Linked DNA regions of Arabidopsis thaliana. The protein of the gene in region 3 interacts with the protein of the main gene of each other region in a biochemical or structural test. Each region holds a gene or a part of one and is shown on either strand. Other genes may lie near its edges. The genes, in order: NAP, MYB39, MPK1 and AT2G42300.

Region 1 (7,031 bases), about 23 Mb from region 3:
ACACTTTCAAACCCTAAAACTCTCAAATTTCATATTTGCAGTGGTATAATGGAAAAGCTGAAATATAATTATTACCTTCTTCTTGGGCACAGCCATTAGCTCCATGGATCCACCGAAAGAGAAACTCAGGAAACCGAATCTGAAGTTATTTTCATCAATGATAGAATCCGATTGTTAATTATAAAACTCCGGTAAAACAAGCGGCGGCGAAGCGGTAGAGCGATCGATGGCGCTGTCTAAGGGAGGAGAAATCGCAGCGACGTAACTGAAGCATCGGGATTCTAATATACGCCGGAAATCAGCAGCGGCGCGTTTTAGCGTCGTCAGTCTCAACGCCATTGGTTCAAATTCTCCGGTGGCTTTGCGGAGGGTGATACTTGCACTGTTGCACAGTTACGCTTAACAAGACGGTGTCGTTTCATCGTAACCGGCAATAACTAAAATAAAAATAAAAACCTGACACGGACCGGCTGGTCAGACCGGTTGAACCGCGAACTCTGGTCCAGCTTTTATATATGTACAGTTCAACGTCCGGTCCGGTTTATAAAATCATGATCATAAACGTATTGTGGAAGGATCGTAAATAATCTAAAGTTTGTGCCTCCATGAGAACATACCTTAGAATCTAATCTGCCTCAGCTTCATTGTTACGTTTTGATTAACCAAAATTTAGCAATTAGATTCCATCTTTTATCGTTTATACTCTTTATCTATCTTTTTTCTAACCTCAAAAAAATCCTTATTTTAGTGACAGTGCTGCTATCAGTTAGCAAATCAGACTGTTAACTTTTAGCCTATATGTGTGATGTATCTAAGACTAGGAGTTACTTTTTTATTTCAAGTTGGTAGAAACGAATTTAGTAAAGCATGTGTTTGGAATTGGAGTCGATCAAATATAAACAAATCGTTTCTCCCTAAACAAAGATGCTAGATTGCTAGAGATTAAGATGACGATTTGATTAATCATCGTCACTCATATTTAATTGGTTTCCTTAACTAAATTTATCTAAACAAAGATGCTAGAGCTTTTGTTTGCGTCATCTCATCCTAATCCTCATATCTTTTAATCCTATCCTTTTTGTCCCATGCCCTATATAGTAAGTATATAAAATTGGCTTGGTGATGTATATGAACATATGATGAATCATGTGCCATTTGAAATATAGTATAATACATGTACACTTGTGTAAAATAGCTTTTGGGGTCTTTTAATTTGTTAGAATAGCATTTTTAGATTGTCCATTAACAAGGTAGTTTCTTGAAAAATTTTAAAAGATATTCATGCGCCACTTAATTATAACGGTTTAATGAACAATTATTTGTGGCAATAGCGAAACAAAATCATGAAATTAACAAGAATAAACAGCTAATCATGAACTTGTTTTTTCTCCTCTTTCCCACTTTGTGCTGGAACGTTCCTTCGCATCTTGTAGTAATCTCACAAAACCCATTTTCAAGAAACTTGTGTCCAGTCTGAATTGAGCGTGTGGAGTTTTTTGGACAAATGTAGTAAACAAAGATTTAATCACCCAATTAGGGAATAATAATGACACCATTAGATAAGAACATGCGTAATTAGTGACATCTAATTATTGTTTAATCAGAAATCCGCCGTGGCGCGTGGGTGTATGCCCTCCACAATCCTTATCCCTAATGACTTTTTATGTGAAAATGACACGTCATTCAGAAGCAAAAAAATTGGACCCCCCAAGCCTTGTAGCATGCCACGTTTCTTCCAAAATTAAGACCAAGAATGGTCTTCACACTAGTTTTTATGTTATACAAGTTCTTTAGTACTTCTCCTTTGGATTCTTTTTAATTACTAGTTTGTTTTATGAAAAACGTATGTTATTGATTATTGAGATATCAGTATTATTATATATGCAGTATAAAGTTATTGATGTGTATATTTTGTCATGCAAACTATATCGTGGAGAAAATAATGTTGCTTATGACTTTTGATAGTTGGGCTTACATTTGGATAATGGATAGGGTAGACAAAGATAGGAGGAAAGCAATAATAGCGAAATGAAGAACGAATATTTGGGGAAATAGGACAAATGAATATACTTCTCTTTGAAATGGAGATTCACCTAAATTATTAATACTAAAGCCATGCAATGCATCCAAACAAATCAGTGGTCAAGCACACTCAATTATATGTCCACGAAGACCTTTAGAATCTTCACAACCAAAAGCTATTTTCTACGCTACCTGATAATTCTGACTCAATTCTTCTTCATAAAACGTATAATGAAGCTTTATGAATGATTAATTATAGACACAACCGGCCCTATCTGCGATTTCTACAAACAATAGAACACAAAACTTTAAAAGTTACTACAAAATACCGAATTGACTATATATATCATATTATCAGTATAAACATGATTAGATTGATCATGTTTATCAGTAATCATGAAAGACAAAGAGTGTGACTATTGTAAACCAAATTTTAGAATAAAATAAATAATTTATCATACTATATACAGTATTTTGTTAAGTATATGTCATCCAATAGTAACATTATCATTTAAACTGAAAAATGTTTCAGCTACTTTAAGGAATTATAGCTTTATTAAAAGTATATACTTTTAGGTCACGTGTTTAGAGGTGAAGAACAATAATAATTACTCAATAAGTTCACCAGTCACACTCCAACATCTTATTCAAATTCCTTTTAAAAGCTTTTTAACCGTGGCTGTTTGATGACCATTTGACAAAATTTAGTATATTAGAAAAAAACAATAGGATAGGGATAATATAGGACATTAGACTATTAGATGGACAAAATGAAGTATTATTTAATTTTCCAATGTACCAACCAATAAGAAAGAAGTGACGCACAGTAAACGACAAAAAGCTCAAGCATAAAAACCCAAACCTTCTCTGCTTTCTAAACATTTCAAGAACCTTGAGAACATCAAAAACTAACACAGAAAGAAAAAAAACAGTTCCTGTTCTATTAGATTGTTTTCTAAATTGTCTGAAAATCATGGAAGTAACTTCCCAATCTACCCTCCCTCCAGGGTTCAGATTTCATCCTACCGACGAAGAACTCATCGTTTACTATCTTCGAAACCAGACCATGTCTAAACCATGCCCTGTCTCCATCATCCCAGAAGTTGATATCTACAAATTCGACCCATGGCAATTACCCGGTTAGACCCGGTTTATCTCTCAATGATAACCTATTCTTCTAGATGTTCATGTTTAGAGCTACTTTCCTTATTTGCTTTGTTCGTTTTGTATTTACAGAGAAAACAGAGTTTGGAGAAAATGAGTGGTATTTCTTCAGCCCTAGAGAAAGAAAATATCCAAACGGAGTCAGACCAAACCGGGCAGCTGTTTCCGGTTATTGGAAAGCAACCGGTACAGACAAAGCCATTCACAGCGGTTCAAGTAACGTAGGTGTCAAGAAAGCTCTAGTCTTCTACAAAGGTAGACCTCCTAAAGGAATCAAAACTGACTGGATCATGCATGAGTATCGTCTCCATGATTCACGTAAAGCATCAACGAAACGTAACGGTTCCATGAGGGTACGTAAGCAGAGGAAACAAGTTTATAGCTCTTGTATATTTTATTACAACTTGTGAAAATGTTAATTTTCTTTATATTTTTGCAGTTAGATGAATGGGTACTGTGTAGGATATACAAGAAGAGAGGAGCAAGTAAGCTTCTGAATGAGCAAGAGGGTTTCATGGACGAAGTACTAATGGAGGATGAGACAAAAGTTGTAGTTAACGAAGCAGAGAGAAGAACTGAAGAAGAGATAATGATGATGACGTCGATGAAACTTCCAAGGACGTGTTCGCTGGCTCATTTGTTGGAAATGGATTACATGGGACCCGTCTCTCACATTGATAATTTTAGTCAGTTCGATCATCTTCATCAACCTGATTCGGAGTCTAGTTGGTTCGGGGACCTTCAGTTTAACCAAGACGAGATCTTAAACCATCATCGTCAAGCGATGTTTAAGTTTTAGTGATGGGGTCAGTAAAAAAGAAGAAGAAACAAGAAAAGATGTGCTTGAAAAGTTACTTTGGTAGATATTTGGTTAGTTTGGGTACATGAATGAAAATTGTAAAATATTATAACTAAAACCCAATGGGATTTTATATTTCTCCCATATGAATGTGAAATGAAAAACAATGTTTAATTAAAAATTAAGTTGTTTCAGCATGATAAGACGAAGTCACGAAGTTGATTTACATTACGAACTAATAAAACAAAAGACTTTTGTAACTTACGATGTTTTTAAAATGATAAAAAGAGAGATTGAGATTACGTTAACTTGGAATGAACAAGTCGATGACGTGTGGAGGAATCAACGCCAGATACAATGCATTTTGGGTACTTATCTTTGTCGTTTTATTAGATAACGAATGTTACTTGTCGTCATCATCGTACATTAAACCACATTTTGATTCAGTCTGCGCAGACTCAAACATTAGTGGATGTAACTTATCATAAATATGTGGACCCTTTTTGCTAATTTCAATTTTGACCGGTTTTGGTGTACCAAACACGGTTTAACAAAACCACGAAACCAAACTTGTTTAAGAAAGAATACACACCAAAGAAATGTTGCAAAGAAGGCATAATAAAAAAGAGTGTTAGTTGATTAGTAGATTGGTCACAAACTTTGTCTGATTGCTAAACAATATAAAAACTCTTATGAATTTATTTAGAACTTATTTTTCAGATTCAAAGAGGTAAAAAATGTCGTTGTGTTTGGTTATAGCTTGTATGGTAACATCATGGATCTTCTTACACCGATGGGGACAAAGAAACAAGAGTGGTCCAAAGACTTGGCCTTTGGTTGGAGCAGCGATCGAACAGTTAACTAATTTTGATCGAATGCATGATTGGCTCGTTGAGTATCTTTATAACTCAAGAACAGTAGTGGTTCCAATGCCATTCACTACTTATACATACATAGCTGATCCCATCAACGTTGAATATGTCCTGAAAACAAACTTCTCCAATTACCCCAAGGTGAAAAAAGCTCTTTATATCAATATCATGTATATGTTTTGTTGTGACTTTGATTTTTTGTTGTATATCAGGGAGAGACTTATCATTCTTATATGGAAGTATTGTTGGGAGATGGGATTTTCAATTCTGATGGAGAGCTTTGGAGGAAACAGAGAAAAACCGCGAGTTTCGAATTTGCTTCCAAGAATCTTAGAGATTTTAGTACTGTAGTGTTTAAAGAGTATAGTCTTAAACTCTTCACTATCCTTTCCCAAGCATCTTTCAAAGAGCAACAAGTAGATATGCAGGTAAGAATCTATTAATCACTAAAGTCTACAAACTTAGTTTCTCTTACATAACATCCTTTTTTTGGCTCTAGGAATTGTTGATGAGAATGACTTTGGATTCAATATGTAAAGTGGGATTTGGTGTGGAGATAGGGACATTGGCTCCAGAGTTACCAGAGAATCACTTTGCTAAGGCTTTTGATACCGCAAATATAATCGTAACACTTCGTTTCATAGATCCTCTTTGGAAGATGAAAAAGTTCCTTAACATAGGCTCTGAGGCATTGCTTGGTAAAAGCATAAAAGTAGTCAATGATTTCACCTATTCAGTCATAAGAAGAAGGAAAGCAGAGTTATTAGAGGCACAAATATCTCCTACCAACAACAACAACAACAACAACAACAAGGTGATAAACTTGTTATACAACTCAAAAATGTAAATATATGCACTTGTCACATTAGTAACATTTTTATTCTCATATGTAACTAGGTGAAGCACGATATACTCTCGAGGTTTATCGAGATCAGTGACGATCCAGATAGCAAAGAAACAGAGAAAAGCCTAAGAGATATTGTCCTCAACTTTGTAATAGCTGGAAGAGATACAACAGCAACAACTCTCACTTGGGCTATATACATGATAATGATGAATGAAAATGTTGCTGAGAAACTATACTCAGAGCTACAAGAACTCGAAAAAGAAAGCGCGGAAGCGACTAATACATCGTTGCATCAATACGATACAGAGGATTTCAATTCCTTCAACGAGAAGGTAACAGAATTCGCAGGACTATTGAACTACGATTCCTTAGGAAAACTTCACTACTTACATGCTGTGATCACAGAAACACTTCGTCTCTACCCTGCCGTTCCTCAGGTAAGTAAAAATCCATTAAATTTGTGAATTGAGATATCGAAACGAAGAAAAGAAAAAATCGTATATTCGATATTCGTAGGATCCGAAAGGAGTATTAGAAGATGATATGTTACCAAATGGGACAAAAGTAAAAGCTGGAGGGATGGTCACATATGTACCTTACTCAATGGGTCGTATGGAATACAATTGGGGATCAGATGCAGCATTGTTTAAACCCGAAAGATGGCTTAAAGATGGAGTCTTTCAAAATGCATCACCATTCAAGTTCACAGCTTTTCAGGTAACTATAATCAAACACATACAAGATTTTTGTTTTTGAACATGAAAGATGATGAGTTTGTGTGAGTGTAGGCTGGACCAAGGATATGTTTGGGAAAGGATTCAGCTTATCTGCAAATGAAGATGGCAATGGCAATACTTTGCAGATTCTATAAGTTTCATTTGGTGCCAAATCATCCTGTCAAGTATCGGATGATGACGATCTTATCCATGGCTCATGGCTTGAAGGTTACTGTATCCAGACGTTCATAGACACACACACAAAAAAAAAAAAAAACTATACAAAGTCAAATCCATTTGAAATGATCCAAGAAGAGATATAATTAAAATCTTTATAACTATCTTGTTCTAAAACTTCTCCATAAGATAAATTTTATAGATCAAACAACAATTGTGAGGCAAATTTTTTCCCTTTTTACTCCCGTAAATTTAATTTCTTATATTTCATTTTTTACCGCTCTATGTCACCAATCAGATCAAATTAATCGATTGGAATAATGTGAATACAAGTATATAAATTATAAAACCAGAAGGTCCAGAATTCACCACATTGTTTAAAGTCAACATGAACACTAATAGAAACATGACTAAGGAAGGACTATATATGGAAT
Region 2 (7,366 bases), on a different chromosome or scaffold from region 3:
GTGAACCACCTGTTCCGCCTTTCCCGGGAAGCAACTCTATTCTCTAAATCTATGGAGTAAGTCTTGGTCCATGTTTCTACTTCTGTATCCATGCTCCAAATCTCTAGTTTCCATTCAGTCTTAGTATAGGTATTGGCTATGGCCAGGCGGTCCTCAAGGTTCACTATTTGGAAGGTTTCTTGCGTGACACTCATATCAGGAACTGAAATGTTATGTAACTCTTCTTTGTGAAGATCCAAGGCTAGTATTGTCCAAGCCCTCTCAGTAGGTTTGTGTAACCAGTAGATCGATCCATTCGCACACTCCGATTTTCTTACCTCAAAGACCTTATAAGGAGGTGGACTCAACATCCGCCATTCACCAGTTTCGACATCAAGAACACTATACTCCACCTCAGGATCACGTGCACAAATTTCACTGAAAGATATTAAACACATCTTCACTACTTTATAGCTTCCGGTAACTTTATCTTTACCAAATCCCATTGCCCAATGTCTTGGAGAGAAAGCCGAACCTACTCCAAATATGGTTCCAAATCCGAATCCGTATCGCCGGAGTTGCCTTGTCCAGGGGTTCAAAACGTCTATCCAACGTGGTTCGAGAATGCAGACCAAACCGTCGCAAGTAAACGAGGGTTGTGCGGCGTTGCAGTGCAGATAGACGATCTCTTCGTTCCCTTTGCACTGCGACGACCCGGGGAGGAGCCTAGGCTCCCAGCCGCATTTGCAGTTGTAAGCAGCCAGGATTTTGCGCTTCTTTTGAAGACTCATTCGTCTCTCCACGAACGTCTTCGACTCAAGAATTGATCTCCATCGTTTTGAGACGCTTTTCGATATGAGAATGGATTTCAAGGGAAGTCGAAGGAATATATCTTCTAGAAGATCGGCAACTATGTAGATCGAACTAGGGTTTTTCTCTTCTTCCTCCATTCTTGGTGACTGTTTGTTTTTTGATTTTTTGTCAATCTTTCTGTTAGAAACATCGAGAGATTGACATTTTAATATATTTCCTTATTGGCAAATAGGTGAATTTTTATTAAACTTGTGAATCAAGTTATGTTTCCATAGAGTTGTTTGATTGTATAAATTAGACTGCTCGTAGATATTTATCCAAAATATTGTTATTAAATGGGCAATAATAGAATGGTGATTACAATGTGTTTCTTTACACAACAACCAAACCAAATAAGAACAAATTACAAATAAGAATTCCTTTACAAGAAAATATACAAACTTTAAATCAATATTTAATAACAAACAAAATTAAGAGTATTAATCGAATATCTTTGTGTATGTATTGTCTTTAAAACTATGAGTATACGACCCGAACAAAATCCAGTTCTACCATGGGACAGGTGACGATGTGGGTGACGTTAAGCTGCAGATTAGATAAAACAATTCTGTTAATAAACCATAAATATAAATCATATACTATGTTAATCAATGCGGAGATAGATCTTACTCTAAGAAACTTTTCCAGCAAGAATCACTTGTTTCATCATCAAGAAACTTCTCCCAGTCCTCTAGGAAATCTGAACCGGATGAGTGTTGAGCTGTACTGGGATGGTTCAAACTGGTTGTCTCGGGAGAGACCGATACCGAACCAGTAGATGGGGTTTCTAGTAGTTGATCACCATAGTAACACGGCATCATACCGGTTCTGATATGATCATTTACCTTGGTGGTCGTACTGGTACCCGGTTTTGCTGTATTTAAACTCTCTTGAGAAACCGTAACCAAACCAGGAAGCTGGTTATCTTCAAAACCATCCCAAACATTTTCATAAGATGGAATGAAATCCGAGGCGGCCTCAGGAGTGATTCCACTTTGGTTTATGAAAAGACCAGCCGGGGGATCCGGTTTAGGATTCACTGAATTGGTATTGAAGCTATTGACTACCGGTTCTGGTTTAGGATTCAGTAAATTGGTCTTGAAGCTACTGATGTTTGGTATGGCTTTGGGGGTTATGATTTGAAGCATTTTATGGATCAATTGGAGTTTAAGAATATCTTCCAAAGCGGTGTTATTGTTGAGGAGGTTATTGTTACCAAATTGGCCATTGTTGATTGCTGCCGCGAGCATTTGAGAAACATCGAGGATAGGGCTAAGATCGTTGGTTCTTGGCTCGTGCGTCACTGGATCAATCCCCATTTGCAATAACTTCTTCCTCATATGAGTGTTCCAATAGTTTTTAATTTCATTATCTGTTCTTCCTGGAAGATGACCCGCAATTTTCGACCATCTGTATGGTAAAAATTCGACTCAAACGTTAGTAAAATGAACCAACGAAAACTTAACCTTTTGTATGGTTAGAGAATTATAAACTAAAGTTTAGACTATAGTCTTGAGGATGTGAATTCTATAATAGCAATAATAAACTATGCAATGGTATCCATACGTAAATTTGTTTTTGCACTTTATATTAATTTTAAAAGAACTGAAAATGGTTTATATTTTAAAATTATGAAAAAAACATGTAAACAGGAACACATAATTACGTCTGAAACAAGCGAGACCTAAATCATTTAGTGCTAACAAAATAGCATAAAAGCTTTAACGAAAAAAAAATAGTCTTACTTGTTGCCAAGGAGGGCATGGAGTCTAACGATAGTACTCTCTTCTCCATCGGAAAATTTGCCTCTCCGGATATCAGGCCGGAGATAATTCATCCACCGGAGCCGACAGCTCTTGCCACAGCGGTTAAGTCCAGCGAGCTTAGGAAGCGACCGCCAATTCCCATAACCATTCTCGTTTATATAAGCAGTGAGCTTATCATCTTCTTCTGGCAGCCACGGTCCTTTCTTCACGCCTTTGTCTTGATCGCAACACGGTGATCTTCCCATTTTGTTTATATCAAGAACCAAAACTTATCAGAGGTTTTTGAAGATATGATCTTCGTTTCGTCGCTCCCTACGATTAGGTTTGTATGTATATATAGATGTGAAAAGCAGTCATGACATAACTAAAGTAAAGTTGTGTATGCATTCGTCAGAATTTGGTGTAAATATTATTTTTCATAGTGTGTCATAAGTCTACAATATATGAGTCATTCAATAAATCAGTTAAATAACCAAAATAGTTATAACAAAATCAAGATTAGGTACTGATAATATGATATGTGTCATGGCGTTCGAACTTCGAAGAGTAATTCGTGGGGATGATGTTCAAACAAATAATTTTTATATAAAAGAATACGAATAATTGTTAATGCATTAATGGATTTTGTTATTGTGGGTTAGATGTATAAAATATTTGCCCTAGCTATGTTAGAATAAAATGTTGATATTTCCCTACTAAAATCTTTTTTTTTTGGGACCAAATTTCTTACGCTCTTTTACTTGTAAAACAATCACAAATTATATACTATTTCATAATCTGCAATTCAAACTAATCTTATTGAAATTATGTTATAAAAGAAAGCCACATTTTTCAAAAATTAAACATGCATGTGATCATTTTTGAATATTTCCTATATATGTGTATATTTCTCTATTTAGATTAAAACCTACAAATAAGAATTTCGCATAAATGCATGATTATAAATTAAACTTGTTAACTACTTTTCTTGAAGGGTATATTTAACTAATATTTAATTGAAAAGCAATATTATGTTCTCATTGCAAAGTTCATCAAAATTGGAATCTTGCATTTATCATTATGTGATTGCTTCCACCGCATTCAAAGAATTATCTCTACCTGCTTCAATGTCTCATGGTTGATCAAAGCCTACCCTTTCGCTTCTTCTTCCTCTATTTGAATTCAAACGAAGATTATTATTATTCTCCTTATTGTTACCAAACCGTCGTTTGTGCCTACCATACGTTCTGAATTTCAAGTCACAAAAAATTACCTATGCTATTATCATTTGTTTTTTGTTTAATTGTTTTGTAATTTTTTGTTACGTGAAAATATAAATTTTTTACGTGAAACTCTCTTTAGTATAGGTTATCTCAATTTCTGTTTTATATTATTCGAAAATATACATATGGATTTGGATGATCAAGTTAATACGAGATTTTCGAATTGATTTACTTTGATAAAGGAAATGGATAGCTTTTTTCGATTGACTAATTTAATTAAAGAACTTCTCTCGCGGGTTCCAAACATTAAGTCGATAGCGTGAGGAACACATAAACGAGTAAGTGGATTTTATTAGAAGGTGTAACTATAAAGTTGGTATTATATATTACGTTGTATTATACTATTGGATCTTTGAAAAAATCTTTCATAATAGAATCTTGTTGTCTTCAAAGGAATGAGAAGGATCACGACAAATTAGAAAAAAAACATAAAACGAAATTTCCTACGGTTGGAGAAAATGTTTACTAGTATAATTTAAATAATGAGGTTTAATTTCACTCTCACGGAAGATCTTGTTTACATACTTAATTACTATTTTTTTACCGTTAAATTACTGTTATGGTTTAAAGGGTCAATGTTCAGGCTTGTTTCACATTGTCAAATTAAAACCAAACACTTACCAACTCTCTATTTATCACGTTGACTATTTAAACAGTCGTATATATTAAGGGTTCCATGTAATTAGTAGCACCATATAGTATAAAATTCCTATGCTATATTTATTTGACATTGTCAACGAGTATAGATAAGACAAGCCTTAAAATTCTATGTAATGTTATTGTTACGCGGCTTACGCAACAGATACATAGTCGTCAATTTGTAATTCAATGGCTGCTTCACTCTTTCGGTCTCTGTAGCTAAAATTGACTTCCGAATTCAAATGAGTTCATAACATTGTATAAACTTTCAGTCTAGATCGGTTATCTTTTTTCTTGTTTGGATTTTTGTTCCTACTCTTGAACATCTTTGGAAACCGATCGATCTTTGAATTATAAACTTGCACCATATAGAAAACAGTGAAGGTCGCTTGAGGCACCAAGAGTATCTTCCAAGTTCCAACGACCATCCAACGTATGTTAAAGTCATAAAAGCTGGAAACTGGTTTCAATTAGAGAACAACTGTTAGCGTACGTACGTTGGATGGATGTGCTTTAGCAAAAAAAAATAACAACTGCATGGATCGGATGTGATCTCTAAAACACATAATCAGAACATGCATACTGAGTTAGTTGGCATAATGATGTCTTCGTACTATATTAGAAGTAACGCTTAACTCGTCCCATCACCAGTGTTTTTGTGTGGATAACGATGAAAATCGTGAACTCTTCTCTCGTTTGGTGATAACAATATTCTCTAGCTTGACTCAGAATGCGGATTTGCTGTAGATCTTTCCGTGACCCTAAATCCAAATCTTATATCTTTATGGGTCGATTTCTAATAGACCAAATTTATCTTTCACAGTATATCAAATTCAAATTATGAATTGGGATCGTTCAATAGGTTATAAGACAAAGATTGCTTCTTTGCTATTGAGCTAAATTTTGAGTTGGAAAGAGACTTTTGATTTCACTTAATACCAAAAGAAATCAAATTAGTAGGTGTCAAATGCCAAAAAAAAAAAAGAAAAAAAAAAATATATGTAACAGTATTTATGATGTTATGGTCAATAAAGTAAAGAGAGATGAGTTTGGGATAAATTTTCTCCTGCTCCTATCTCCCTTTCTTGACAAGGAAGTATATAATTCGGTAGATGGAAAATCTTGGAAAAAACAGTTAACGTGTAAAATTATATGAACAACGACCAAAGGTTTGTCTATACGCAATATAGAATACAAACACAAGAGTTTTGAAACAAATAAACATAATTGCATATAAAATATCCATTTGCAAAAGTTTCTAAAGAGTTGTCCTATACTAATGCGAAACATCCGTGATCGTGTCTCTTGGAGACGCATATGTTTGGTTATTTCCAGCAAAACAAACATTAATTGTCATATCATAAGTTGTCGTTACATAATGAATCCATATATATTTTATTTCTAGAACACTAAAGTCATTATTTCTAGAACACTAAAGTCAAAAATATTTTTGGCTAAGAAATAGTCAAAACTCCTACACATATCATCCGATTTATTTAAAAAATCTTCAAGTATAATTTGTGGATTAAGCCGTCTACTAAAGCTCATTAATGATTTCCATTTAATAAATGCTCTGTTGTGATTTGCGAAATAAAACAATCTGTTTGAGCTTAAGAGAAAAATAGTATGAAAATTTGTTTATACACAATGGATCTATATGTTAAAACAAAGAAGCTATCGTAGTTAGATATTCACTTCAATTAGTTTATTTAAACCAAATTTAGATTTCTTTTCCCTCAAAAAGTAATATATTAATCGATCAAATCATCACATAAGAGTTGATTTAGCCATCCAGGCGGTGTTACGGAATCACAATTAAAAAAAAAAACAGAGTGGTTACAACCATGCTTAGCAAGATGATGAACTATATTATTACGTACATGAGCGTTTTGTGAATTGAAAAGTGTCAATGTAAACTTTGAACGTCAATGATAGATATCATGTAAGAGATTGGAAATGTGGGATGAAGTTATAGGACCCTTGAATATGTTAATTAATATCGCCTTTAAACACAACCGTGGTATAACCTCTTATCCAAACTTTTTGCATAGCCGCTAGGAGCGCTTTTTCTTAACGAAAGAGCTAATTGTTTCTCCATCAAAGTGTCCCAGTCTTAATACTCTTTATCTATCGTCCATCTCTTTTATCGCCGCTCAAAATCTTCTGTAGACTTTTTCTCTAATCGTTTCCACATCTTTGAGGAAAAAGAAAAAATCGTTCCCACATCTGAAAATCAATGTTACCACATGTCATGTTGGTACTTTTATGAGAAACTCAAGTTTCCACAAGAAAACCTTTTAAGTTTTTAATTTAGGTCAATCAAATGTTGAATATGTTTGGAACGTAGTTAGATCAAACTGCATGATATTTTTCTTTATAGTCCTTTTGTCTCACAAACACAACACAACCTTTTATTAAACGAAACCCTTATGGTTTCGCTTTAATGTATTCAAAGAGAGTTTTTTCATAAACTGACTTTGACTGAAGAACTAATTCAATACAGATAATTGAGAGTTAAAACTAGATTAGGTGATACGTAAGAATTTTATTCTATTTTATTTATCAAAGGCCTTTTGATTTTTTTTGGGTAGACTGTGTGGAGTTGTAATACTATAAATATGGTTCGGACGGTAGTACTATACATAGTTGATGATAGAAAATGTTTAAATATGTTATTCCAAACGGTCAGATATGTATATACTTCGTTTGTAATAAATTCCAACCAAAATTTTAAAAATACTTAATGTTTAAATATTCCTAAAAAAACTCATTTCAAAGAAATTTTGGTTCGTCTAAAACTAGCTTGGTTCAGTCAGTTTGTACATAAATGAAACTGAACTGGTTGCAAGAAACACTATATTTCGATTT
Region 3 (7,842 bases):
AGCCTTATCGTGCTATTTCCTTAAAAGAAAACCAAACGTGAGCATGTATAATAAACAAAGAAATAGTACAGGTTGTCCAAACAACAAGAAATCAAAACTCCAAACTAAAAAAATTTCATTTACAGATCATCAATTAGACGAAAGTTGTACACAAATGAATCAAGAAACACTTTACCACGACCAACAAAAATAATCAGTTTGAATAGTTTACATTTCACTAGCATTAGAGAAAGGAGAAACAAAGAAGAAGAATTTACGTATCTTTCTGTCTCAAAATTAACAACTATGGACAAAACAGAGAAGACAGAACAAAAGAAACCAAGGAAAATGTTAGATGAAACGAATAAAAGAAATTCACAAAAAAAGAAAAAGTTTTGATTTTCGTCACCGGGTTTCACTTTTATCAGGAGCAGCTCTGTTTTCAATATTTAGTTTCTTCCTCCTCTTCGTCTCGTATGTTGATCCTCTGTTTCTGCTCTGTTCCTTGATCATTGGAACCAAGTACCAAACGATACAAGTGCACATGATCGAGACGGTCCGTCCGAAAAACACCAATAATATTAGAACCAGCACCACTGTCACGGGTAATAAATGGTTTGGTCTTGAAATCTTCTTCAGATTCTCATTCAATACACAGCTCTGTTTCTGCTCTGTTTCCAAATCTGTTTGCTTTATTTCTTTTTCCTGCTCTGTTTTTGATTCGGTCTTTACATTGAAATCATCTAGAACATCCTTATTCTTGACCTTGAAATCATCTAGAACGTCCTTCTTCTTGACCTTGAAATCATCTAGAACATCCTTCTTCTGACTTGCCCTCTTTGTCTTGATCATTACAGGGACGCACTCGCCGGAGCTAGTGAAGACAAACCGAACAAGAGGCGGTCCATCAGGATCAAGCCTCTTTGCGTAAATGCTCTGTCTTTTCTCATCGAGCTCAGATAGAAGTGCAGAGAACTTGTCAAGTCCTTGATTTGAATAAGGATTCTTGCTTTCTTTGTTTCCTCTTCTCGATCTCCTAGGTGACGAAAACGGACTCAACATATCAAATCAATTCAGTCCAATCAACAATATCCTCTTTTTTTTTTTTCTGTTACTGGTCCTTTGTGTGGAGAGGTTGTGAGAATTTGAGAGCTTGAAGGAATTTGGTTACGGAGGAGTTGTTAGGCAGGATTTAGTATTTGGACAAGAGAGACGGCTTTATTGTTATCATAATGAGACTTGTCTTAAACTAATTGTAAATATTTCAGATACACAAATGGATTGGTGATTTGACCAGATCTCATTAAATGTGATGAATTGATCAGATCACGTATTGTTGACACTTTTTTTGTTCTCTTTTAGGACGAATAGAAGATAAGTTTCTACCAAATGAAACGTCATCCCAGATGTATTTTGCTGATCTTACAAATTGACTTTCTTGCGGAAGAAGCTGCAAAAAAATTTCCATGATGGTGTAATCATATTTTTTTGGTTTATCATAAGTAATTGACTAATTGTTAATTTAACTTAGTTTTGACTTGGGGAGAAAGAAAGACAAAAGTGATTCAACCATAAACATATAGTTGGAATATTCATTGTTAATTTAAATTTCTGATGGGTTTACAAAAATTGGAAAATCCTCCAAGTTATTTATATACTATGAAAAGAAAAATGAATTATGAGAAGGAAAGTTGGTGTAGAAGAAAAAGCTTTTAGCCTTTAAGGCTTTTTAACCAATAGAAGCAACATATCATGTGTTGACAAAAAAATGAAGCATATCATGTGATAAATGAATGAGGAGGGTACTGATACTACTCACCAAAATTATCTTATAGAACTTCATTAAGAAATTGAAAGAAAAACAATACATTGTTTTTGTTACGATTTGGAAAGTTAGGTTCGGTGCAAAGGCCTACCCCTTCTATGAATCCGAAGGCCTATGATCATGGTGTGATCATCAAATATTCATATAACAAAATGCTTAATTGTTGATATTCTTAGATTTAAGCTATATGAGAACAACTATATGAAAACTTGATTCATCAAAAGGCTTGGATTGCATGAGAGGGTTAAAAGTTCTGCAAGAACGCAACAAACAAACAGAGAAACAGAAACACAGCTCTCTCTATGAACATATGTTACAGACACACATCAAGCTTGTAATTAAAAAAAAAACACAGCTCTTTCTATGTACATATGTTACAGACACACATCAAACTTGTAATTAAAAAAAAAAAACAGCTCTCTCTATGTACATATGTTACAGACACACATCAAGCTTGTAATTAAATAAAACAGAGCTTCCATGGCATCACTATTCGCTTAAACTATAAGTTAGTCTTCATCTTATTTTTCAAGACTATATACACTATGAGTCTATGATGACAATCAGACATAAGAAGAAGAAGTTTTCTGTAAATTACCCGTACAAACAAGACTTGAGCTCAGAGCTCAGTGTTTAAGGTTGAAGCTTGTGGATGGTAGTGAAGCATCTCATTCCACATCATTTCTCTTATCATCTCCTCTCTCAAATCCTCATCTACATCGAGATCGATAGGAACTTGAGCAGGAGGGTTTGCATTCGGGTCATATAGAGGCGCCATGTATGGATGCTGGAGTGCTTCAGAGACACTAATCCTCTTTGACGGATCAAAAACAAGCATTTTCTGCAGAAGGTCGATGGCCAAAACATGAGCGCCCGGGTAAAGTCTGGATAAAGACATCCCAGGTGAGTACGGAAGTGATCTAATGTATCTTTTAGCTTTCGGGTTATCTATGAACTCAAGATCTTCTTCTCTTTGGCTTCCGAGAATGTTGACAATGAGCTTCAGCTGGTTAAGACATTCCGTTCCTTGGAATATCGGTTTCCTACCAAGAAGCTCGGCGAAAATGCAACCAACAGACCAAACATCAATGGATGTTCCATAGTTGTCACAACAGAGGAGAAGCTCTGGGGCTCGGTACCAACGAGTCACAACATATTCAGTCATGAACTGACCCTTGGTGTTGCTCGCACGCGCTAGTCCAAAATCGCATATCTTTAAATCGCAGTTTGCGTTGACAAGAAGGTTACCAGGTTTCAAATCTCGGTGCAGGATATTGGCTGAATGAATATACTTGAGCCCTCGAAGCAACTACACAAAAAGAACAAAGCAAAGCAAAATTTCAGGAGAAAGCAAAGCTAGAACCAACAGTAAATGAACGGGATCAACCACACACCTGGAACAAGAAGTATTGGCAATGATCGTTACTAAGAACTTGAGAAGACTTGATAATCTGGTGGAGATCAGTGTCCATGAGCTCATAAACAAGATAAACATCCTTGAAGCTCATCTTATGAATTGGCATCATGACATCTTTCAAAGCAATGACATTCTCATGTCGAAGATGGCGTAGAAGCTTGAGCTCCCGAAGAGTCCTCAACGCATCGATCCTATTCTCATAAACATTGTGAATCTTCTTGATAGCAACTTTCTCGTTGGTGTCACTGTTAACAGAGGAGCAGACAACACCGTAAGCTCCACGACCAATAGGCTTGATAGGCATGTACTTAGTGTCGATCTCGAACAGAGTTTGCCACATTGAGAAGTAATGCTTCCCTTCATTCCTTATCCCATTAGGAGGATCAACCAAAGTCGCCATTTTTTGTTTTCCCTCTTCATCACAATTCACACACAATCAAGAAATCAAATTTACACACACAATTAACAAATTATTATACTAACTATTTATCAAAACTTTTCAAGTGATAAGTTACTGTAGATTTCTTGTGTAAACAGATTGGTCTGTTAATAATAGTGAAAAGGAAAAAGATCAAACTTTATCGATTTGGTGAAGGAACATAAACGATCGGAATCAATGGGAAAAAAGTTTACGGGATAAAGCGGGAAGGAAATTCTAACCGGTGATAAGTGACCAACGACGTTCCCCGGAGGTTAGATTTGGCCGGAGAGAGAAACCTGTGGAAGTGAGAGAGATTTGGCCAACGCTCGGACAGTTGACCTGCTACTTGTTCGTTACTAGGTAGTCTTTCCTTATATAATTTGGGCTTAAGTTGAGCCCAATTAATATTGGCAAACAGATTCACGTCTCTATCTTCTAAAATCAATTTCGGTATTTTTTAGTAACTGATCACCAAAGTAGCATCATTTGTGAATATGTGTTCTACGAAGATTTATAAAAATTGAAAATGAAGAAAAGTATTTTAAAGTAAAATATATCATAAATGTAAACAATGACACATGACTAAAATATTGCATCACCAATTCACCATCTTCTTTTGCTTTAACTTTACGTTTCCATCACACATCTTTTCATTTTGCTAAAATTAGCATCTAGAGGAAAATAAACTACAAAAGATTTAAAAGTTTTCATTAAGTCAGATTATTAATATAAGAGAGGAGGCCCATGCAGACAGAAAGGGAAAGCCCATAAATCTAAGCAGTGGCAAAAATGTTAGAAACTGTATAAAATGATACTAATAAATTGGTTGGAGTCTATTATAGTAGCAAATAAAAATAACGTTAGGTATTTTTGATTAAATAAAAGATGTTAGGTATCATTATGATCACTCATTCTCTTCAACCAATTATGTCAATACTACAGCTCATCAAAAGCCTTTATGGTAAAGCATGTTTCAGATATTTTCATTATTCATATACACACTACACAACATATAGTATTAAAGAAAATAAATAGTGTATAGATATTTAGAGATTTCCAACTAATTCAACATAACCAATACAGCTTTTAATCATTATCTAAAACCAGACAAAGATTCTTTCCAGTTGGTTTTCCCTGTTCTATTTCCTTACAAACAGTTATTGACTATTGAGCATTGCCTTCACTGTTGAGAAAAATTTGTGTAAATCTTACGCACTGTCAAGCAACTGCATGCATTCTCTAAATAATTACCTGACTCTAGATATAAAAGAACTGAATTAATGTAAAAAAAATATAAGCAAAATATCTAGGAGACAGATATTGACGGGTTACTTCAAGTTTGGACAAAAATAATTAAGAACACAAAAAATGCCGTTGAAACCTTTTCTTTTTGTAGTACAGTTTTTAGTTTTGTTGCTAACGTTCAAATTATTTATTTATTCATCGCTTATCTTGTTTTGTGGATTAGACAACCACGAAAAACAATGCTAGGGTTGTCAGAAACACCAAATATTCGAATTTGCATCCAAAATTCGATACTCATCTTGAACTTTTTTGTTTGTGACATTTTATTAAAAATTTCAATTTTTCCTAAAAGAATTTTACTTTAAATATTTAAAAAGAAGAAGCATGTTCATTTTTCAATATATCTGGTCCCCATATTAAAACAAGCAACAATAATTGACAATCTCTTTCTTTCATCTTCATCTTATTCTTCTTTATCTCTCTCTCTCTCTCAAGACTATTGAGCTTCTTTCTTTTTTCCTGAGTCTTTTAGTCTGATCTCTTACAAGAATGGCGTTCGCAGGAACAACCCAGAAATGCATGGCATGTGACAAAACAGTTTATCTTGTCGACAAGTTAACCGCCGATAACCGGGTCTACCACAAAGCTTGTTTCCGATGTCACCATTGCAAAGGAACTCTCAAGGTTTGATCTTTGATTCTAGTTTGTGATGATTTCTCATTAATCCAGAAGTAGATCTAGTAGATATATATGTAGATGAAGAAGTCCAATCAATTAAGTAGAAATCTTTGAATTTTTGGCTATGGAAACTGATTGGTCTAAAGATTTGACTGTTCTGTTTCTTCTTCTTCTTCTTCTTCTTCTTGATGAGTCAGCTTAGCAATTACAACTCCTTTGAAGGAGTTCTCTACTGCAGACCACATTTCGATCAAAACTTCAAGAGAACTGGAAGTCTTGAGAAAAGCTTCGAAGGTAAATTACCAAAAACAGATCAAAATGTGAAAAGCTTTGTGAGTGGGGATTTCAAATTTGGAATTATCTATCTAAAGTTTGATTCATATATATGTACAGGGACACCAAAGATTGGGAAACCTGATAGGCCTTTGGAGGGAGAGGTACTTTCGGACAGCAGAACAAAACCCTTTTTCTGTTTTTGAGGTTCTTGAATTTTTTTAACATTTAACATGAGAGAAGTTTAACAGAGACCTGCTGGAACCAAAGTTTCGAATATGTTTGGTGGAACACGAGAGAAATGCGTTGGTTGCGACAAAACCGTGTATCCAATTGAGAAGGTATCCAATCTCAAATCTTTCCTGATCAGAATCAAGTTGTGTCAAAGAAGATTGTTAGATTGTTTCCATAACGAATCTGATCTGTTCTTGGCTTAAACCAGAGCTGAAACATTGCTTATAATGTGGACTTTGTGTAGGTATCGGTGAATGGAACATTGTACCACAAGAGCTGCTTCAAGTGTACACATGGAGGCTGCACGATAAGCCCTTCGAATTACATAGCTCACGAGGGTAAGCTATATTGCAAGCATCATCATATTCAGCTGATCAAGGAGAAAGGAAACTTGAGCCAGCTCGAAGGAGGAGGAGAGAATGCCGCCAAGGACAAAGTCGTCGCTGCTTAAAGAAACAATTCAATCTCTCTGGGATGATTTTGACTATCGAAGAATCAAAAGAGTCACTACTTCTCCATCGATCGATAACATATATTGGTTTTGTTTCTTCCTACGTTTGTGTTTTTCTTTTTGGTCTTTAATATGTTTTTTTTTTTTTGGGACCTTTGTTCACTCTTTTATTGGGTTTCTTGAAATGAAACTAGAGAAACAAAGAAATAATGGATGTTTGCTTATGAGATATATATGTATTACGTTCATATGATATAAATTAATTTTCGTGAAGTTTAAGCTTCAGCTAAATGATCGATTCAATTGCTACCATCGTTGATTCAGGTTATTGATAATTTGTTACTCTTGGCAGAGAGGATGATGAAGTCGCGTGAAGATAGAGGATGGAGATGTAAACATATTGGGCTAATTCCTTACAAATGTTAACATAGATTAAAAACATAAAATAAAACAAACAAATAAGGGTAACAAACCGAAACAAGAGAGACAACCCATAACATTAATAGGCCCAACGACCAAACCCATGAGTCCCAACTCGGAGGAGACCAATCGACGAAAACCCCTACACAAGAGGCGCACTAACACAGAAAACAACCCTTTGCCGAAACTCAATCGGAGAAGGCTAACAAAAATTTTGCAAAGTACTTCGTGAACTTGAATTTGTAAAAACAAAACATATTGATTCATGGATTTTTTGTTTTAATGTTATTGTCTTCAAGGAAAAATCGGGAAAATAATGGCTACTATAGATATAATACAATGATATGAAATTAATTACAAGTAGAAAGTAGACATACTTATTAGCCCTATTGTAAATCTACCAAAATGATTTAAATCAATGGTATTATGTGTTAATTCATAATATTAACAGATTTTTATCTCAGGAATTGTTGAACAAACACTAATTACTTTTGGTCAATGCTAATTGATTAATCTACCATAAAACTCTTTCCCCAAAAATTTTGGTCAATGGTCTTGAATTAATTGAAAAATGTTTTGTTCCTCCTCCAGCCTTATATATTAAAGGGTTATCTTCCATGCTTCAAAATCAATAACTCTCTCGTCTCTCTCTATTGTTGATTCAAATGGAAGTGATATGGATGTTCTTAATGTGTTGCATCTTTGGTAACATAATTATAAATCATAACAATGACTTTGTTGAAGCTAAGAGCCTTTCTAAAGTTGAAGATTTAGAAATCGAGAAGAGACTAAGGACTATCAACAAACCTGCTGTCAAGATCATCAAGGTTTTAATATATCTTCATAACCATGTTACTGTTCTCTATATATTATACAATTAAGTAATAAATGTTAACTTC
Region 4 (9,690 bases), on a different chromosome or scaffold from region 3:
CTCCAGAGATAAAAAAAAAAAGCATGTGAAGAGTGTCGTGATAATGTCTCTTCTTAGACCTAGCCTAATGGTTCCAGACAGTGTTACAGAATTGTACTCTCGGGAAACACAACTACACAGAGAGAAGTAATTACCACAAGATCCCTCTCTATGTGATGCAATTTGATGACACGAGATTGCTCAACTAAGGCAAACAACAAATTAAGCTACTACTCTAGTCTCTTCTATTGTTTAATCGCTAGTCTCTTCTTTTGTTTAATCATCATGTATGAAACCAGAGGATGAGATGAAGATCACAAGCTTGCTAAAAAGCCAACACCAGCATAAAGTACTTGTACTTAAAAGAGAAGAATATGAAGCCACACTTTAGGAAACTAAACAAAGGATTTGGGAAACTATGAGCAATAGTAGTACTCAAAGGCAGTATAGTATTAATCGACCAAAATCTATAGAGATAGAGGTAAGCAGTCATGATTTCTAAAACATTATCTACCCAAATCTAGTGAAGTTACTTTCAACTCCAGACTTGTCCAAGTATAAGATCGAAATCAACATTCTCATCTGCTATTCTCAGCTAAGTAGAAACCTAATAAACACCACCGTCAAAGAAACTGAAATCTAGTGTGTCAAATCTACCAATAGCTGACACCATGAAAACTCCAAACGCTAGCCTAATAAAATACAGCAAATGACAAAACTGAAATCTAGAGTGTTGCATCTAACAATGGCTGATGCCATTCCAACCACTTGAAAGCCTACAAAACTTATTGTGCACGCTGCAATAACCTATAATCACGAACATGTCTACAACACAAAGGAACAATCCATGCCCTAGTTAGAGCTACACTATCAGCTTATCACTACTACTACAACAAATGACAAGTATAAAAAAGATGATCTAAAGAGATAAGAATCGACTAACATAAAGTAGCTATTAATCTAATCAATATGCACTGCACTGAGTGAAACAAGCAAACCTGAGATTCACAGAGAACATAAACAAGCCATGAACTAAGGAAGAGAAGCACACAACATCAGCATACAACTCTCGTTTAATCTCTTTCTCCAATTAGTAATGCAGCAATCAATAGTCGAAATTGAATCATTTGAGAAATGAGTAAATCAAAAGTGACCAAATTTGAGAATTGTAATAAGAAGTAGAGAGTGAAGGCAATTGCGTCTAAACAGTTAAAAGAACACTTATTTCATGAACATCATCATTATCGACAAAACAAAGGAGAATTGAAACAAAGTTCAAGGGCCAAACGAAACCCTAACTCTCCAGTCTTCGTTATCATCATCATTAAACGGTAAAAAAACTCCTCAACTCCCGGAGAATAAGGACATACCAAATCAAGCAACCGGAGATCCAACGGTGATGCTTAATCAGATGAATCTCCAGCGGTCGCGAGCTTCTCCATCTCAAGACGCTCTAAAGCTTTCTGATGAGCCCAAGTCTCGATTGAAAGATCAGGTTTGGCATTGAGTCCAACGCCGAGGATAACAATTGTAAGGAAGCTGGTGATGTAACAAGGAAGCTCCCAATCTTCCCATTTTCGCGACTGTCCTGGTGCCGGAGGAGTACGGTTCATAAAGTAACCCTTAGGTCGCTCCTCGTGACCTGGCGTCGCCCACCGACTCGGACCGGCGGATGTAGATCCAGACCTAGAGAAGATCCGATTTCGTAGCGTCTTCGCTGCGACGGTCAAGGACTGCGTCGACGGCATCGCGTTGGTTCAGATATTTCCGCTGTAAGCAAAAAGGAAATGCTCAGATTTGTCAAGTGTCCAACTATATACGACCACGACCTACAAAAGGTTTCATTCGAACCGAACCGAGAATTTCAATTTTGGTTTATTGAAATTGTCAGTTTAATTGGGAATTATATAATGGTTTCAGCTTAGATTATCCGGTCTAACAGATTTATATACGAAATTGACTCTCTTTTATGTTCGGTATGACTTGGTATTCTCAGTTCTCATTTTGTTTTACGGTTTGACTGGAAATTTTGTAGTCCAAATCGGTTCTGGCAGTTTGGTTATAATTTAGGTAGACCAAATTGAATTGGTCACACTAGTCGGTTAAGCAGTATTGGATGATAGTATTCGTGTACGACGTCGTAATTGCTCAGTAACATATCAAATCTTCATATACTTCTCTCAAGGGAAACGCAATTTAGACATTCTGAATTCTACATTGAGGAATCTAGTAAATATAGAAAGGCCATGAACAAAGACCTGAAACAATCATAACCATTTTCTACCTCTAATTCAACAATCGAAACTTTAGTAGATATATATAACTCTTATATATACACATAAGCATGTCAAACTGTTTCCAACTTAGAGCTCCATTTTCACCTGATTTGGGTGTAAAGTAGCTGAACCCATTGAGAAATTGGCTTGATGATGATCTTCTTCTCTTCCCCATTCCGGCTGGTGGTAGCCGTCGAAAGGCCATTGTTGCAGCTGATGATAAGACTCTGCATTGAAGCTACCATCCATAAGAGAGCCGTTCTGCAGAAAAGATAATTGGACCTCATCATTATTAACACAATTTGTAAAACATATCAGCTTCTCTTAGAGATGATTGATCCAACATCCTAGATTCTCAATCTAGTCAACAAGCCAGCTCTATTTTACTGTAACTCATCCTAGAAGAACAAGGTTTTTAATGAGTGGGGTCTGGTTCTTAAATGGTGTACAAGCTGTAAAAGAAGAAGGTCATTTAATAAGAAAGTTATTTGCAGAGAAACAAAAGTTGATTATTAGATTAGATAGGTGAAACTTGAAGCAACAATAACTTAAGACTGAGACCCACAGAAAAATAATTGTGCAAGGATAAAAAAAAAAGACAGCATCATAGACCATAGAACAAAGGTGGTCCGTGTTTCTGACCACTTTTATCTCTCTGTATGATATAATTGAGAGAACTAATGAGTCCTTTCAAAAGATTTTTTAGAGTCCTTGATCTCACTGTTTGTACTGCATTTTTGTAAGGTCTAAGTATTTATTTCCCCCACGTTGTTCTTCTTCTTTAAGCCTAGTCTAGAATAGGGTCGATTAATGTTGGATCAATAAATATCCAAAAGTTTCTCTTTTTGTGATACAACTTAAAAAGGTTACTCAAAGAAACATAATCCCTATGGTTACTTAAACGAGTAACATGGTCAAAGGGAAGTTTTTCCCAGTGAACATTGAATTTAAGAGTTTTTATTGTAAAAGAAGATCACATGCAACCTTAATTCTCCTATATGATTAGTTGATACTTACCTCTGAAGCCAGTATGCTGTCTAGATTGAAGTCGATTCTGGGGTTTACTGCAGCAAGTCTCATAGATAGCATCTGAAAAGAAGAAAAACGGTTATGTGACACTGTGGCACCAATTTTATCATACATTGTGTAGCTTAGTGTTTCAGTTCAGGACCTTCAGGTAAACAACAACAAAAGATAGTGCAAGAAGTCCTACCTCCACTTGACGCTGTAAAGTTTGCACATGGTTAATGATTTCATCCAGAACCAATGCAGTGCCCTGAATCTGCAGGCCAAAGCTTTCTGGTCAGTCAGAAAGAAAGAAGAACAAGGCATAGTTTTTAGAAATATATGTGGTTAACGAAGCAGTGTGAAAATGAGCCTTAATCCTAAGTTGCATATGTATAACGGCTTCTATAAAATCAACAACTCTACTCTTTTCAAGATAATATGCCAGAAAAGCGAATCAGAGCAACATCTGTAGTTTACAAACATGGATTCAGGATTTCTCAGGATTTCATGAAACAAACAATCAAGTCCCAAAACCCCACAAATTTGACAAACTCTTAAAGAGTTGTCACTTATCATCATCTCCTTCCACCAATAATTGCAGCTAAATTCCAAGATATCTATGGATTAGTTAGCTGTCTGCAGGAGTGTCACATCATGTATCCAACCAATTAGGTATTGTGGGACTCAAAGCATATAACAATATTAGTGACGATACTACACTCCTCACCCTCTTTCTACTTGATAGATACCAAACTTATTAGAGACGATACTACACTCCTCACCCTCCATAGAAAGCCTGCAACTTTTGCCACTTATTATCAAAAGATGGACCCCAAAACACAGTCTGACCTTGATCTATCCACCAAAATCTGTCCCCTCTACCCAAAACCTTAAGGGAACAGTCCAGCTAGCATTCCCACATCATATAATCCATTATCGGCATTTATGGAGTAAGCTTCAAGCTCAAATGAATACACTTTGGGAAGAAGAAACAAGAATCTATTGAGCAATGTCACATCACTTCCGTATTACTACTACTAGTTTACCTAAATGGTTGTGACCCGTGAGATATTCTTCCCCACACGAAAATAAAGTTTACATATCTTCAAGGCAGTGAAATTACCAAACTAGTGGTTTTGTTCTTTGTCACACCACAAAACCTTTTTCATATAAGAGGAATTTAGCACTAAACCCTTATCAAACCACATGATCAAATTATAGAAAAAAAATCACTTTTTGGGGGTTGGTCTTAATAAAGAAAGATTCTGTCTTTAAGCACAAATGAAGATCTAATTATTGATTAGCTTTTTGATTAAAAGGTCAATTATCTAAAGACAAACCTTATCACAGCCTGGGACCAGTTCCTGTAGCAGCTTCATTCGTGCGTTTATCTTCTCCCTTCTTGCCTATAATCAAGAGTTAATGATTAATTAGCATATTGCCACTAATTAATTAATACAAACCATGTCTGTGAGATTGTGAATTACTCTCTCTGCTAAGCTATGGTTATCAGTAGCTTGACCACGACGAGCTCTGACATGAACATATGGCAACTTGTCTGACTCCACGGAGCTCTTGTTCTTCTTCGTCGAGCTTTTGACCTAGAAATTAAGGAATAAAGAAATTAGGGACTAATCTCTCTTGTTTAATTAACAAGTTTGATTGTGTGAACAATTGGTATCACCTTCTTCTCGCGTTCTTTCCTTTTTCCAGAAGAGTAGCTCTGGTTCTGATTCTCCACCATTGAATCGGTCTCAGCAGGCTCGGCTTTGACTCTGTCCAGATTCGCGCCGGGATTAGAAGGTAAAGAGTTAGCAGTCTCGCCGGAAAAATTACCGTTTTGCTCTGTAGCAATCACCGAGAAACGAGCGGCGCGGTCCAAGAGAAGCGAGTTAGAAGGAAAAGTCAAAGCCCCGAAAGGGTGAAGAGTGGTAGGAGAAATATCACCACTGGTAACGGTTCTGGCCTGAGAAGACGATGAATCTGGGAAATGGAGAAGCTCCATGGCCTGAGTCACAGGCATCTCGAGTAAAGCCGTGAAGGAGCCGCCAGTAGTCTCCGGAGGCATCGTCGTCACTAAGTGCCGAAATTCGTCGCTGAAATTGAGAGATTCTAGTCCGGCCACCGGCCCAACAACGCCGGATCTAGCTCTGAAACCTTGGGTCAGATCCATTAGCCGGGAAAATCACACTTAAACCGGAATAAACCGAGTTGAATGAAATTCAGTGATAACCAGAACCGACCGACTTGATCAACTCGTTCCTTTTAGAGCTTTTAAAATCGAGAGAGAAAAAAAGGAATTTAATTTTTGTCAGTTGGGGAGTATTTTGACAGTTAACGCGAAGGAGGTTGCATCAATGGCGGTATTAAAGAGAGTAGCGAATGAAATATTTCTCTCTCTGTCCCTCTCTGTGAGTTTCTCAGAGCTTGCTCAAGAAAAGAAAAAGTCTTCTTCTTCGTTAAGAGTTTATTATATCTGTGTGTGTTCTGAGAGCACAAGAGCCATTTGGAGTGGGAAGAAAGCAACGTTAGCTTTGGAGTGCGTCTGTTAATAAAGCCAAATTTTTAGAGAAAGGAAATATCCAATTTATGGGGTTTGGAGAGACGATGATAGAGAGACGCTTTTGAATTGGGCCTATTGGGCTTTATTCGGTAGTATTTTTAATCCCTGTGTAATGGGTCACTTGTTTTTTTCTGGTTTAGTGGTTACTAATCACTATAGTTGGAGCCATAAATAAGGTCATTTCACTATGATTCATTCTTTTTTTTTCCTTTCCTTTTTAATTTTTATAGACTCTGGTGAGTAAATTTTCAAATTTTGACTGGTCGTTGTTCACCCTCTTATTTTATTTTATTTTGTTCAAGGTCGTTATTGTTCAGCCTCTAAAATTACTCTTTTTATAAAAAATAAGCTTGAGATGAATCAGAGTGCCACACTCGAATAAATGAAAACGACAAGACTTTCCGTCCCCACCAATTATTTAAGTTACATGGATCTAAAAATTCGGCCGTTTTTAGTGATTTATTGGGCCACATGGACCGTTGATTGAGATTGCCAAAATTGGCCCATCTCACTCACTGCATTGGAGTTCTAGTGTTTGTACCAAAAACGGTAAGATGTTTGCGTACATTGACCGCAATTTGTAGCCCTCCCAGTTCTTGCACGACAAGGTTTTGTAGGATTTTAAGGTACTACTATTTCCTCTTGAAAGTTCTTTAACTGAAAAAAGTAATTGTTAACAAAAGTCGGATGTGATGATATGATGCATATATTTATTTGATGTTGTGAATAAGTTGAATTTGGGCCGTGACAAAGTGCTAACCCAACAACAATGGGACTTGTGACTCTTCGTGTATATTTCGGAATTGCCCATTAAGACTAGGAGTAGAGGAGCCAAAAGTGGCATATTTTCAAATGCATCTTTGTGTGGTTACTTTGTCGGTTGGTTAATGATTTTTCTCTGACACAATCCACTCTCTACCGTCTCTTCCCTCCTTTAATTTGAATAAATATGACATCCTCTATCCAATTCAAATTCATATGCAATAGGTCGAGTTCGATTATTTTCAATTATTCTTAAACATATTTTAATCCTTTTTTTAGTTACTGCTGAATCTTGTAAAAGTAAAACAATTATCGACCCAGTGGGACTGTACAGTTTTTTCATGGCTCAAGAGTGAAGAGGTCCTATACGAGTTAAGATTCTATAGACTATAGCATTTAAGATAACACTTTGTTTATTTTTTGTATCCCAAATTTGTTGTAACTTTTTTTTTTGATACCTATATATAGTTTTAATGCTATAAAAATCCAGTGACCCTAGATATCACCAACGGATACACACAAATTAAAAATGTAACAACAACCCACCTGCATCAATCAATAACTAAACTTCAAAAAGTTTCAAAAATAACCACAAAATGTCAAAAACCCAAAACGCAAATCCCAATATATCACATTTTTAATTAGAACTGTAGTGTATATATTATTAAAATTTCAAACCATAGTATATGGACAAGAATTCAAAAAATTGATCATGACTACATTACACCACGTTGCTAACATGAAACCATAAAAGAATCATACCTCGGTCAAATCTCCCATTATTCTTCTCCTTCGTCTTCACTGTTTACCGTTTTTCCTCTGCAACTTCTCGTTGCCTCACACTATATGAATCATCTGTAATTTGTAGCTTCTTTAACAACCAAAAAGTTTCAAGATTCCTATATCCTAAGCAAAAAATGAAGTTACCATCGATTCTTTCACTTGTTGTTTCTTCCATCTTTCTCTGCATGAGCTTTTGCTCCTCTCTCAATTCCGACGGTTTATCTCTCCTAGCTCTCAAATCCGCCGTCGATAACGACCCGACCCGAGTAATGACCCACTGGTCTGAATCCGACCCGACTCCTTGCCATTGGTCCGGAATCGTCTGCACAAACGGCCGAGTCACAACTCTTGTACTCTTCGGAAAAAGTCTCTCCGGTTACATTCCATCAGAACTCGGTTTACTCAACTCGCTAAACCGGCTTGATCTAGCTCACAACAATTTCTCTAAAACCATACCGGTTCGTCTCTTCGAAGCAACCAAGCTCCGGTACATCGATCTCTCTCACAACTCACTCTCCGGCCCAATACCGGCCCAAATCAAGTCCATGAAGTCACTCAACCACCTTGATTTCTCCTCCAATCATCTCAACGGTTCACTCCCTGAGTCACTCACTGAACTCGGAAGCCTCGTCGGAACCTTGAATTTCTCTTTCAACCAATTCACCGGCGAGATTCCACCGTCGTACGGTCGATTTCGAGTTCACGTCAGCTTAGATTTTAGTCACAACAATCTCACCGGAAAAGTACCTCAGGTGGGATCTCTGTTGAATCAAGGACCAAACGCATTCGCTGGAAACTCTCATCTCTGTGGCTTCCCATTGCAAACGCCGTGTGAAAAAATCAAAACCCCAAATTTCGTCGCTGCAAAGCCGGAAGGTACTCAAGAACTCCAGAAACCAAACCCTAGTGTAATCAGCAATGACGACGCAAAGGAGAAGAAGCAGCAGATCACCGGTTCAGTAACCGTTTCTCTGATTTCTGGAGTTTCGGTTGTAATCGGAGCTGTTTCTCTCTCTGTATGGCTGATCCGGAGAAAACGAAGCTCCGATGGGTACAATTCGGAGACAAAGACGACGACGGTGGTTTCAGAGTTCGACGAAGAAGGGCAAGAAGGTAAATTCGTAGCGTTTGATGAAGGATTCGAGCTTGAGCTTGAGGATTTGCTGAGAGCATCGGCTTACGTGATAGGCAAGAGCAGAAGCGGGATTGTGTATAGAGTAGTGGCGGCGGAATCGTCCTCCACCGTTGTCGCCGTTAGAAGGCTCAGCGACGGCAATGACACGTGGCGATTTAAGGATTTTGTGAATGAAGTTGAGAGCATTGGTAGGATCAATCATCCTAACATTGTACGGCTAAGAGCTTACTACTATGCAGAGGACGAGAAGCTTCTCATCACTGATTTCATTAACAATGGCAGCTTGTACTCTGCCTTACATGGTAAAACACTAATCTTTTTCCTATTTTGGTGCTAATTCTGCATAAATCTACCACTAGTTATAAGGTTTTTATGTGTACTTGCTCTGACTATAAAGTGGAGAGCTTTTTTTTTGTCTTTGTCTGATTGTGTTGTATTGACTAACATGTTCGCTTCTTCTCATTGTTTTATTGTTCAAAGCTTTACTGTGTTTACATGTGTTGAAACTTGAAACAGTAGAACTCGATGACAAGCATACAGATTTGCTTCTGTGTAGCATTATAGTATGTGGTCCTGTTATTTTCATGGGAAAACTTAAGTCGAGAATGAGTTAATGGTAGTCTAGAGAGTGTTTAATGTGACAGAAAGAATATTTCTTTTTGGTTCTTAGACAGAGATTAGTTTATGATCCGATAGATGTGTGTTTTTCATAGTTAACCTCTGCTTGATCTGCCTTGGGAAGTTAGTACTCGTTGAGATTTTTCCATTTTCCTGAGATATGCTGTGCTTTGAGTATCATGTATCACTGGTTTCTGAGACGGCATTTGAATTTTTTTCTGTAGGTGGACCTTCGAATACTCGGCCTACACTCTCTTGGGCTGAGAGGTTATGTATAGCTCAAGGGACTGCTCGGGGTTTGATGTATATACATGAATACAGTTCGAGAAAGTATGTTCACGGCAACCTAAAATCAAGCAAAATCCTGTTAGATAATGAGCTGCATCCTCACGTCTCAGGATTTGGTCTCACACGACTGGTTTCCGGCTATCCCAAAGTCACTGACCATTCACTATCATCCATGACGCAAAGTATAGACCAAGGATTTGCCACAAGACTCTCAGTCTCAGCTCCTGCAGCTGCTTACCTTGCACCCGAAGCCCGAGCTTCTTCTGATTGCAAATTAT

The links.
Region 1: of the proteins of MPK1 (region 3) and NAP, one has a biochemical effect on the other in vitro, tested with the Arabidopsis thaliana proteins (one large-scale study listed by BioGRID).
Region 2: of the proteins of MPK1 (region 3) and MYB39, one has a biochemical effect on the other in vitro, tested with the Arabidopsis thaliana proteins (one large-scale study listed by BioGRID).
Region 4: of the proteins of MPK1 (region 3) and AT2G42300, one has a biochemical effect on the other in vitro, tested with the Arabidopsis thaliana proteins (one large-scale study listed by BioGRID).

What each region holds. Positions count from the first base shown.
Region 1 is NC_003070.9:26,119,238-26,126,268, forward strand, and holds NAP (NAC-like, activated by AP3/PI), read left to right. Parts: upstream 1-2,842; 5' UTR 2,843-2,995; coding exon 2,996-3,161; intron 3,162-3,258; coding exon 3,259-3,539; intron 3,540-3,625; coding exon 3,626-3,985; 3' UTR 3,986-4,277; downstream 4,278-7,031. Other genes in the region: AT1G69485 (Ribosomal L32p protein family), read right to left, coding at 76-105; CYP704B1 (cytochrome P450, family 704, subfamily B, polypeptide 1), read left to right, coding at 4,723-4,998, 5,070-5,285, 5,357-5,671, 5,755-6,141, 6,221-6,421, 6,493-6,672. UniProt on the Arabidopsis thaliana protein: Transcription activator that binds to, and transactivates the promoter of the abscisic aldehyde oxidase AAO3.
Region 2 is NC_003075.7:9,880,527-9,887,892, forward strand, and holds MYB39 (myb domain protein 39), read right to left. Parts: upstream 2,907-7,366; 5' UTR 2,843-2,906; coding exon 2,577-2,842; intron 2,242-2,576; coding exon 1,462-2,241; coding exon of another isoform or gene 1,458-1,461; exon of another isoform or gene 1,378-1,457; coding exon 1,341-1,377; 3' UTR 1,073-1,340; downstream 1-1,072. Other genes in the region: AT4G17780 (F-box and associated interaction domains-containing protein), read right to left, coding at 1-929.
Region 3 is NC_003070.9:3,345,358-3,353,199, reverse strand, and holds MPK1 (mitogen-activated protein kinase 1), read right to left. Parts: upstream 4,119-7,842; 5' UTR 3,882-4,118; exon of another isoform or gene 3,636-3,881; 5' UTR 3,622-3,635; coding exon 3,199-3,621; intron 3,114-3,198; coding exon 2,424-3,113; 3' UTR 2,020-2,423; downstream 1-2,019. Other genes in the region: AT1G10220 (ZCF37), read right to left, coding at 385-1,041; WLIM1 (GATA type zinc finger transcription factor family protein), read left to right, coding at 5,437-5,571, 5,763-5,859, 5,959-6,002, 6,090-6,179, 6,317-6,523; AT1G10190 (NEP-interacting protein, putative (DUF239)), read left to right, coding at 7,609-7,770.
Region 4 is NC_003071.7:17,617,288-17,626,977, reverse strand, and holds AT2G42300 (basic helix-loop-helix (bHLH) DNA-binding superfamily protein), read right to left. Parts: upstream 6,084-9,690; 5' UTR 5,437-6,083; coding exon 4,948-5,436; intron 4,865-4,947; coding exon 4,751-4,864; intron 4,670-4,750; coding exon 4,604-4,669; coding exon of another isoform or gene 4,592-4,603; exon of another isoform or gene 3,538-4,591; coding exon 3,469-3,537; intron 3,345-3,468; coding exon 3,273-3,344; coding exon of another isoform or gene 3,258-3,272; exon of another isoform or gene 2,517-3,257; coding exon 2,343-2,516; 3' UTR 2,126-2,342; downstream 1-2,125. Other genes in the region: AT2G42310 (ESSS subunit of NADH:ubiquinone oxidoreductase (complex I) protein), read right to left, coding at 1,383-1,727; AT2G42290 (Leucine-rich repeat protein kinase family protein), read left to right, coding at 7,506-8,808, 9,349-9,690.